3 linked regions of the Coturnix japonica genome follow. The protein of the gene in region 3 purifies or fractionates together with the protein of the main gene of each other region. This does not show direct contact. Links are inferred from orthologs where the notes say so. Each region holds a gene or a part of one and is shown on either strand. Other genes may lie near its edges.

The links. Proteins that work in one complex are often made in the same cells at the same time.
Region 1: the proteins of NUFIP2 (region 3) and DDX6 purify together in Homo sapiens (affinity purification with mass spectrometry; 6 studies listed by BioGRID and IntAct, counting the BioPlex papers as one, with this or other methods). This does not show direct contact. The link is inferred for Coturnix japonica from reciprocal best matches to the Homo sapiens genes NUFIP2 and DDX6.
Region 2: the proteins of NUFIP2 (region 3) and ATXN2 purify together in Homo sapiens (affinity purification with mass spectrometry; 3 studies listed by BioGRID and IntAct, counting the BioPlex papers as one, with this or other methods). This does not show direct contact. The link is inferred for Coturnix japonica from reciprocal best matches to the Homo sapiens genes NUFIP2 and ATXN2.

Annotation. Positions count from the first base shown.
Region 1 is NC_029539.1:4,829,359-4,833,008, forward strand, and holds part of DDX6 (probable ATP-dependent RNA helicase DDX6), read right to left. Parts: intron 2,634-3,650; coding exon 2,532-2,633; intron 1,894-2,531; coding exon 1,718-1,893; 3' UTR 1,714-1,717; intron 644-1,713; 3' UTR 1-643.
Region 2 is NC_029530.1:5,325,798-5,329,447, forward strand, and holds part of ATXN2 (ataxin-2), read right to left. Parts: intron 2,985-3,650; coding exon 2,893-2,984; intron 467-2,892; coding exon 269-466; intron 1-268. UniProt on the Homo sapiens protein: Involved in EGFR trafficking, acting as negative regulator of endocytic EGFR internalization at the plasma membrane.
Region 3 is NC_029534.1:4,757,452-4,761,101, forward strand, and holds part of NUFIP2 (nuclear fragile X mental retardation-interacting protein 2), read right to left. Parts: coding exon 2,992-3,650; intron 1-2,991. UniProt on the Homo sapiens protein: Binds RNA.

The DNA of each region.
Region 1 (3,650 bases), on a different chromosome or scaffold from region 3:
AAAAGAAAAGAAAAGAAAAAAGTTGAAGACAAAAGTAGTATTACCAATAAGTTTCACCTCACAGCCCTGGCCTCGAGTACTTGGAGAGGAAGAGAGGGGGGAAAAGAGGGGAACTTTGACCTGAAACCAAAAACGGCTGTTGATTCCTCGGGCTGTGTCGGAAAGGTGATGTTCTGAATGGTCTCATAGCATAAGGCACTTTGCACGAATAAGTAAGAAGCTCTTTAGCTTAAAAACAGATGAGTAACCAGGGAGAAGTTGAAATGCACTCAGTAGATGGTTGGAGAATTTGAAATCGCAGACAAGCTCGTGTTCAAAGATTCTTCTCTTTTCAGGGTTTCTCTTCTTCCCTTGCTGCCCCTCCCACCCAAAGAAAAAACAATTTAAAACCAGCAGTTAGTGCAACTAATGTTCAATCAGCACACAGTGCAAACGAGTGGAAAAACAAAAAGCCATTCCTCCTTTCATCTTCTTTCTTCCTTGCTGCCAAATTTGAAAAGAAAAAAGGCCGAGCTCTTTAGTCTTCATAGTTCCAAAATGAAAAGACGAAGAAAAACCCACAAAGAGAAGGGTATCCCCAGAGAAATGATGTGTCACAGATGTGGATCAAAGGGCTTCACCTTCTGGCATATGTAGTCAAAGCCTGAATATATAAATACACAAATAACACCTGCAATTAAGTCAGGTTCTGGTTTTGCACAGAGCTAAGAAATGAATCATGCTGACTGCAGGGCAGCTCCTGAGAAGCCGCCGGCATTGGATGCAGTTCGAGAACTGTCCCTCTGATGTGCCACTATGACCCAACTTCTCCCCCCAAGGAAGCCGCCCAAGGACCTTGCCCAGCTTCACAGTTTGATTTGCTTTATTTATTTTAAAACATGGAGAAAGCTCAGCCAGCAAAGCAGAGGCCACAAGTCACCTGGACATGACCAGCTGGCTGGGGCTAGCCTTGAGTTATTCCAAAGAGATACAGGTTTTGCTTTAATTCTCATTTTAATTAACAGACTGTTTCTTTGGCAATTTTTTTGTTAACTGAGAGTAATTGCAGCAGCTTCATTAGAATTCTTAATTCATGATCTCTAAGACAAGATGCACTACAAAACTCCTTTCAACCCAAATGGTCTGTAGCATCTCAGCTAGTAACAGATGAAATATTACCCTCTATTTGCTGTGAGAATAACAGCTTCCTTGGATTGTGAACTGACTCAGCCTTTTTTTTCCCCTCAGACAGCAATCAAAAAGTCACACTTCCAAAGTCCTTGCCAGAGAAGCCTCATTTTCTTTTAATGCTATGTAGACCTCAAGTGGCAATGAAGATGAATTACAGCTCTGCTACCTACTCAGCTTACTTGCAGAAGTTCTATGAATCAAAGAATGCAAAACAAATATGAGGCACCTATGGCTTGAACCTGCTCCTCTCAGCTGCTGAGATGAACAGGCTGTTCTGTTGGTGCTATGTTCTTAAGAGACCTATTTTTCACTCCTCACCTTCCTGATAATCACTTTCTGCCCCTACTGCTCAGCTAAGAAATACAGAAAGAACTCATTAGGCTGCTCACAGCCATCCTGTCACCAAGCAGGATTCTCCTCATCTCCTCTGACAGCCTATTTCAAACCTTTGTTTTCACATTCCAAGACTCTTCAGCACATCAGTTTCCCCTCTTCCCCCACAATGACATTCCAACACAACTACTCAAGTCAGCACATACGCACATGGTTACTGTTTCTCATCTTCTACAGGTTCACTGTGATATTCTGCCACGTAAAGGCTCTTGTCAATGTTGCTTGGTATGGGCTTTATTTCAGTTCCCAGCTGCTCCTCAATACTTTTCAGGTTGAATCGATCATCGTAGGTGATCAAGTTGATGGCCAGGCCAAGATGTCCAAAGCGACCTCAAAAAAGAAATTTAAACTGAGTAACAGGAGGTTAAATGAAAAGCCTGCAGATTCTGCAGGTGTTATTAACATCGCTTTCTCATTATAAAAGTCAACCTGGACCCCTGCAAGCTTCACATCAACATCTGATAAGGACTTTCTACTACCAAGTAAAAGTCTTCCACTACTGCAGTGTGGAACTTGAGGTAAACAGAGTTCCACTCTTCACTGTCATCATCAGGGATATATCTGGAAGCTGTCCAGACATCAGAAACAAACTTTGGAGCACAAGCAGAACAACAAACAAAACACACTATGCTTTAAAAAACACAGAAATTAAGTTTTCAATATAGAATCTTCCTAAACTGCAAACAATAAGCATTGGCGAGTTCCATGAAATTAAAGCAAAAGGTGCTTTTTTCCCTCATTTTCTTTTTATTTTTGGCCTAGGCTCTTCAAGCTCATTTAAAGAGCACGGCCATTAACTCAGGTATTTGTGAAGAAAATCCTATGCCATCATCCCTGTAAGTAAACATCAGAAAAAAAGCTATTCCAAATAATTATCAGTACAGTGATAGAAAGCAGAACCCAATCAAAGCATAAGGAATATTACAATTATCAGCAAAGCTGTCCCTAAAACATGTTTTTCCTCTCACCTGATCTGCCAATACGATGGAGATAAGTCTCTGCCAGCTTTGGAAAATCAAAGTTTATCACCACATTCACAGCTTGGATATCAATACCTCGGGTAAACAGATCTGAAAGACAACACAAGTCATGAAGAACATTAACTTCCATGAAATCTAATGCTGGGCTGGGAAATTTAGCCTTTGTGAATGTTGGTTAGCACTAGTTTCTAAAGACAAGCCCTTTCTGTGTATCAAAACATTTGACATAAATTCTGTTACAGCCTCTTCCTGCTCTTTATCCATGTTAAGCATAATAAAAACCGAATGATCAAGACATCAAATCTTCAGTTCTAGGTAAAAAAAATAATTCTCATGAAGCCAGTTTTTGCACTATTTTTGAGCCGGTCAGCTTTATATAAGCATCTTATCAAATAAGGCACACACTGTCATTTTACAACAGACTTGAAATGTGAGCTACGTCCCATCAACTGAACTATCTCTGTTTCATTTCAAGTGAGTTTTAGTAATGCAGCCAAGATACAACTCAGGCCATATACAGACCAATCAGAACTGCAAAGCATTTGGGAAGTGATGAAGAATCAGTAAATCATTATTCAATAATGCTAGCCACAGTTCTACCTACAGTTCTTCTACTATTTCATATCCAACAATTTATAGGACACTCAAATGTTAGAACATAAAGAAAACATAACTGAAGTACAAATTATCATCACAATGAAAGGATTTGTTAGCAAGCTGCACCACCACAGGTTGCCAAAAAGAGAAAGCCTGTATGCCTACAGATTTAGGCTGGATGTCAGGGAGAAGTTCTTTACTCTGAGAGTGGTATGTGGGCTGTGGCTGCCCCGACCCTGGAGGTGTTCAAGGCCAGGTTGGATGTGGCCCTGGGCAGCCTGGGCTGGTATTAAATGAGGAAGTTAGTGGCCCTGATTGTGGCGGGGGAGGGTAGTTGGAGATTCATGATCCTTGAGGTCCCTTCCAACCCGGGTCATTCTGCAATACAGGAGCACTGCAGCCCGCTACACACAGGTATGACAAAAATTCTCTTACTAAAACAGATTAGTTTTATCACTAAGCAGTTCATCAATTATACCTGGGCTAATGGCTACTCTACCACAACCTTCA
Region 2 (3,650 bases), on a different chromosome or scaffold from region 3:
TGAAACCACTGCCTTTTCCTGTCATTTGGTATGAATTCACCACAGTGAAATATCAGAATGGACAAGTCTGTTTCATTACAGATAATACAGGGCCAAGCAGAGGTGTACAAGTCAGCACGAGTGCCAAAACCAGCAAGTGACTGTTTACACAAGATTCCTAACCTAATCAGCCCCACTGAAAAAGCACAGTTTCAATGAGTAAATTGCTACTGTAACAAAATATGTACATCATTTAAATAAAAATACTATTCACAGTGTATGCAAGTACCTAGTGTTCACACCATGACCTTCTCGCTCATTAGCATTTCTCTGAACAGCAGTATATTTTTCTTCTTCACTTCTTTCATCATTTTCCAAGGCAACCCGAGCTTTGTATTGGGCACTTGATTCAATTTCCTCTGCTAATTGAGTTGCTCTGGCTTCCCGTTTCAAAAACTCTTCTGAATTATCTCTTTCTAATGGCACCCTGAAAAACAATGGAAGAAAAAGAACATCTGAAATGAATTCAAAAGTACAAAGAACATACAAAATTATATAGAATTAATTCTAGACGGGTCAAATTAAAAATAAGAAAAAAAGAAAGAAAACACACACAAAAAAAATGCTTTTAAGACAGTTTATTTGCTATATTAGCAATATTCCTGCACTGGTTTGACATTATGTACCAGTGCCATTTACCTGCCTAGAGAACCGAGGTCAGGATGCACAGCTTTACCATATGACTGGCAGACTCCCCAGTCCCTAAAGCTATGCAAAGTCTTCAACTTTTAACAGGGTTGAGCACATTAGCAACAAAAAGGCCTTAGCCCATTATTTAGATAGGAAGGTAATTCAAGAGACCAAATTTGAATTTCTTTAGCAATTTACACATTCACAATAGATGTAAGAGTCCCCAGCACTACTGAAGTTAAGAGTTACAAACTTAATCCTCTGATAATTCCAGTCACGGAATTTCAGTTCTTCCAGTGATAGTAACTGCAGAAAAGATGAATGCAGTACTTTAGACCAGAAACCCAAGACTCAATTGCCATGTCCTGGAACCTCAAAACCATTCATTCTATGTATTATGATATTAGGTAATACCACACTGCAGCAAGCAAACGTAACCCTTTTGGGAAAGCCACTCGATACACGAGCAATGAATTACTAAAATAATGAACTACAGAAGGACAACACAACTGAGCTGACACTTCCTCCTGTCCATCTGTCATTGCTGTTTTTCACCTGTTCTAATTTTTGTGTCAGGTTTTATGAAATAACTTTCTTCATTGACTTTACTTTAGAATAAGCTATGTAGAGATGAGACTCTGACAATGCAATCTTTGGTATTAGATAATCAGTACTGCACACATTTGGGATAATACAAACAAATAACAAAGGATGTAGTTGGAAAGACAGCCCAAGAAAGAAATAATATATGCAAGATTACTCAAGTATTGGTGGCAGGGCTATGAAAGCAAATGGCTTTGCCAAATTGTACCATGTAGCTCTGCTACTACAGCAAAAGTCTCCCCTCCTCACACACAGTTTTGGCCAGCTGCTGCCATTATCAATGGTGACTGAGAGGATGAAAGAGAAAGCATGGCCTCCTGCACAAAGCTCTGGCTCACAAATAAGATACGTGTGAGCACAGCAGCCATCAACACAGCCAAGGAGTGCACTTGCTAGGACAAAGCTTGTGCCCTTATGCAAACTGACAAACTATACCTGCTAATGCTTAGCTCTGGGAAGATAAAATGAACAGTAAACCCTGTACAATCCCCCTCAAGTGCACAGGTAAGCATTTAGCTGGACCACTGCTCATCATATGCTTGGAAAATCAGAATAAAGTGTCCCAGCTAAAGCAACAAAATGCAAAGCAAGTTCCTTGACTAGCAAATAATGGAATTTGTCTTCAGCAATTTAAAGCCACCTTCATGTTCTTAATTTGTGTTCATTTATACCCATAAAACAGAAAGATCACAGACTAAAGTTCAGAAGTACAAAGAGTACTTTGGAATACTTCACTGCTCTAGGAATAGCTTCCCTAGGATGCAGACATAAGCCAATTAAGCTTTTGTTAAAATACATCTATAACGTGGCAATAGAAAGAAAATGTTGAACAAGGGATGTGCAGACAAAAAAAAAAGAAAAAAGAAAATTAAAATAATCACTGCAATTCCTGAACATTCACAACCAAGTTTTAAACTTTGTGGGTAAAATGAGTGGGAAAATAAAGACATTTCACGATGGCTGTTCAACATCTGCAACCAGTTTGTGTTGTAGCTGCACGAACACTATAGCTGCAGACTACTGGGAATGAGTCCAGGCTGCCAAAGTAAGCACAGCAGACTTCATACTTCTTCTTCTATACTCAAGTTGTTGTTATATTGTAACTAAAACTTCAGGTCTGCACAAGCCTGTTAAACAAGTTATCCACAGTACAAACCCCCTTGAAATATCAGCAGCGTTTCAATACTCCAATACCTACATTATGAATAATCACAATAAAATTAGGATTTAATCAGACTGTTCTGCTGGGTTAAACACAAACTACACATATGGCAGCTACATAAAGAGACATTATAGTTTCACAGTTTGTATTTTTCACTCTACTTGTAAAAGTTTTTCTAAGAATTAAGCATTATTGCACGCCTAAATTCAGAAAATGTTGCAATGGGAATGAACTGTGCCCATTTAAGGGAATATATACAGATTGCTACACAAACTATTCACAGAAATCTGGCAAGGTTTCTTAAGCACAATTCATCCATTATTATCTTTTTTTTTTTTTTTCAGTTATTTGATTCCACAACCTTAGAAAGTATATAAACTTATCTTGAGAATACGAATTTTGTCACACCAGGGACAACATTAAATACAAATCTAATAAGAAAATATTTTGGAACTTACGTATAAGAAGATAAACTGCTGTCATATGTTGATATTACACCATAATTTTCTTCATTGTAACGAAACATGTCGTTGGGATCCCATCCGTTAGACTAGAAGAAAATGATGCGTGTTTTTCAAGATGTCATTGGAAACACATTCCCTTAAAGCCAAGGGCTGGTAATAGGAGTCAAACCTTTTGCTCTTTTGCCTTGGCTTACAAACTCACTGTTTATATCAGAAAGCTAGCAGAGCCACAGTTTATTTCAGGGGTCTTTGTTCATCAGATGTATGTACTTTATCCTGAAAAGCCACGTTGGTTTCTTTTTTGTTGTGTGGTTGGTTGGTTTCTGTTTTTTAAAGCACCATGCCCATACTGGACTAGTTAATGGCTAACAAGCACTACACAATTCTGAACGTTAGGAGCGGCCCTTGCTATGACAAGCACTGATACTTCCCAAAAGCATTATTATCTGAGATACATGCTGCAGGCAGAAGACCCCTGGTGATCAGGGCAACTTCCCAACTTTATGAAGTATGTTATTACAGCACTCAAGGCTTTAGCCTTCACAAATGCTTTGAAAGTTTCATGAAAGCACTGACAGTATTAAGTACTCCAACAAATCTCAGCTGTACAGTACATACACCAAAACTGACAGGGGAACTGTTCCACCAAGACAAAGTTAAGATTCCCCACCATAACTTGACTCCATTCTTGCCTTTAACACACTGCAGCAAATACCTTGCTAAGAAGAATGCATGGTTGAGTGAAAGCTAAC
Region 3 (3,650 bases):
GAGCAGTGCAGCAAGATTCCTCTCAGGCCAATAAACTTTATAGCTGGATTAGTACATAACCTTGGAGGGGAAAGAAGCCTGTGCAATAACTTGCTCCGACAGGCACTTGGATATACATTTTCCTTGCTAGGGAGAATGCTGCCGCAAACAAAAGTCCCCACGCTGTGCTACGGTGGCAGCTCTTTGCTGTCACAAACCCAGCACAGACTGACAACTTCACCCAAATTGAACAGCTTAAAAATAACCAAGAGGGCTCAACCTCGCCTGGATTCTCGCTATCTGCGAGGTGCAGCCGCTAACTTTGGGGATTCCCAGGAAACAAAGCAAAGATTCAACATTTGATGCCAAAGAGCCTCATGGTGACAGCGCCGGGCGGCAGTTCTGCCAAGTGGAAATAGCAGAGCCTCAAAGAATCACATCAGCTTCTGCCCCGCAGCACATCAGCAACCAACTGAGCCCTCACCCCTTCCCACTGAGGGAAGGCTTGTCCCCCCCTCCCCGATGCAGAGGATGGGAACTGCTGAATTCACTGCGCTGCTGCTGCTTCTTCTGACCCAGTTCCCCATTCCGCCGCACGTCACTCCGCGCTGCCCCGCGCTCCTCGCTCTATTTTGCACGCCGCTCCCCTGCTTCTTCATGCGAGCAGGAACAAAGCAGGGCAGGCAGAAACACGGGGCGAGGCTGGAGGAAAACAGCTGCAGTTTCCCTCTCTCCTCTGCTTACATTGGTTTTGCTGCTGTGCAGCTGGAGCAGAGCTTGCCTGTCCTCTGTGGGCAGCCTTCTCTGTCAGGAGAGGACCAAACCACCTGTTTGCATCAAGTTCAGCCCCAAAAGGAGGATCTGAGCAACGCCACACTGGGACAAAGCTTCAGTTCTATCCTGGGGGGAAACAGAGCTCATAAACGACAGCATCGCTCCCACTGGTCCTTGTGGGCTCCCACCAGAAGCTCCCAGCCCTGCCTCCAGGCAGACGGCAGCTCCAGCAGCACGGAACTAACTCACATCCACCTCGCTACGCTGGGCACGGCAGCAGCGAGCAGCACGTGCAGGCAGTGAGGGCAGTGCCCTGAAGGGTCGCGTGCTCCGGGTGGGCAGATCGGATGGCCGTGGGAAAAGGGAAACGCAGAGCAGGAGTGTAGAGGAAGCAGCACAAAAAGCATCCAAGAGCAGAACCAGTGTGCACCAGCAGCTGTGCCAGCGGGTCTGCAGTGCCCCTATGGGAGGCAGCCTCCCCATTGCTGATGTGCAAGCCAAGATGAGGATCCACACGAGCTGACCACAGGTACCAGGCAGGCTGCACTGCTGCAGCAGCCCACACTCCCATGGAGCTCAGGGCAGGTGCTCTCTTTGCTCACCCCGTCCCTGCCCCACACATCCATAACCCTGCAGGAAGGGCAGATCTGGAGATCAAACCACTGAGACTTTGCTCGAAACCAAACAGATCGATCTGGAGAGGGAGGAGTTCGCCCTTCTCTTGAAATCCAAAGCAAACAAAGTGAGGACAGATACCCACAGCCCAGAGCAGGGCTATGTAAGCAAGCACTGCAAGCACAGGCACTTCAGGGGACCTCAGGAAAGCAGTCCCACATGAATGGGAAACAGTGTGAGAATGAAGTGCCTGCAAGCTCTGCACCCAGGGCTGTGGCCACAGAGACATCGTGAGGATCTCCCTTAAGCACAGGGCAGGGGAAGCTGCTGATCCTCCCAGAAATCAAACTCAGTCCTCAGCAAACACCAAAATGCAGGTCTACCATCATTGCAGGTGAACTCAAACCTTCATCGCTCCATGCTCTGTAAGCCAGCAGCTCCTGGACACCAAGAAGGAGAAAGATGAGCACAGACTGCCCTGTGCTAATGACACAACGCTGCCAGGAACACCCAGAGCAGAGGAAAAGGAAAGAGCAGAGAGCAGTGTTTTAAGGGGTGATTTAGGTGTCCACTCCTGCCAGTGCATGTAATTAACCTCTGTGCTCAGAAGGAATAAGCAGAGCCAGGCTTTGAAGTTAACACCTCCTTAAGAGGACATGGGAAGGGAGTGTTCTTTATTTTCCTGTTGTGACTATTGTTTCACTGGGGTCTTTCATGCAGTGAGAGAGAAGGGGAGAAAGAGGGCTGCAGAGTAATGAGAGACAAACCAGAGCGTTGATACAGCAGTGAACTTCATAAGAGAACTGGAGCAGGGAACCTGGGCTCCCTAACACCAGCAGCTCTGAGACCCCCGGCCTATGGGACTGAGACCAGAGGGGAAGCAGAAAGGAAAACCAGCCTGCAGGTTTTGCTCTGCCCTGTTTGCTGTATCCAAGCTGTACTTCAGACACCGCAGTCTGAAAGGACTACAAAAGGGCTCCATGAAAGCAATAACATCATCTGAAAGATGCGCCCTACAAAGAGAGGGAGGAAATCCAACCTGCAGAGCTGAGAGGTGGAGATTTGCCGCGCTGTTGCCACAATAATTGTAGAAGGATGGGGAAAAGGTGGGCTACAAAAAGTAAAGGAGTTAAAGCAAGAAATAAATCACACCATGAGAAGGGAGAGACACACAGGAGGAATTTTCCTCCCTTTAAAGCCACGATCTCAGGGTACCATCCACCCCAAGGTGAAGCTGCAGCACTGGGGTGGCAGAGGTGTGAGCACACAGCCCCCCTGCAGCCAGGGGAGCTGCAGCATTGCAGAGCCCACACATCCAGCTCCTCCTGCTGCTCAGGGAGACCTGGTTGGCCCATAGGGACTAAAAGAGCAGCCCAGCAGCTGACCACCAGCCCAACCGACTCTGCCCATCACAAGAGAAACGAGCAGCTCCCGGCAGAAACAAAACAGCTTTTCAAGTCACTTTCCCAAGCCGTGGCTGCCATTCGGTACAGGCAACCAAAAGCTCCTTTCCAAAACAATCAGCTGCAAGAGAGACATCATGTTATTACACTGCACTGATAGAGGGGGAAAAGCACAAGGAGAGAACAGAGCATGCCCTTAGGTAGCGAGCGAAGCCATTACCTTTAGTGTGATATTTAACAGCAGCACTCAGGTCAAAAGAACCCCAGCTATCTTTCCTTTCTAGGCCTCTCTGGTACCCCTGTTCTTTGGCGGAGCTTAACAAATTGTTCGTGGGAGAGGCCAGAGGGTTCTCTACTTCATAGTCTTTTGAAAGAAACACTAAAGCACCTTGGCTGCCAGCCTCTGCCTTTTGCAGCTCGCCAGCGTGATGCGACTCCAGGGCTGCACCGCCGCCCTCCCCAGCAGTCCCAGGCTTTGGGGCAGCGCTGAGAGCTGGGGATGGGTTAGTCCGTTTGTCCAGCTCGTACGCCTTGGGGAACACGGGCTGCTCAGCTCCTGAGGGGACGATTTCAGCACACTGTGAAACCAACGCGGCGGGATATTCCCCCTGAAACGTCACTTCCATTGACTGGCTATCGGCAGATTTCCCCACCGCGGTGTCGGGGCCGGCGCTGGGCTCGTTGATGAAGGACAAACCCCATTGGTTCTGGAAGATATCTCCCAGGTTCTGCTGATTCGTCTGCGACGGGAAATCGACTTGAGCCGTACCCAGCAGCACGGTTTGCATATTGGAAGGGTAGATAAAAAGGTTGGATTTCTTCTGCTCCACAGCCGCTGGGGCTGCGCCGACGTCCGGGGTCACCGCATCGCTGGGGGTG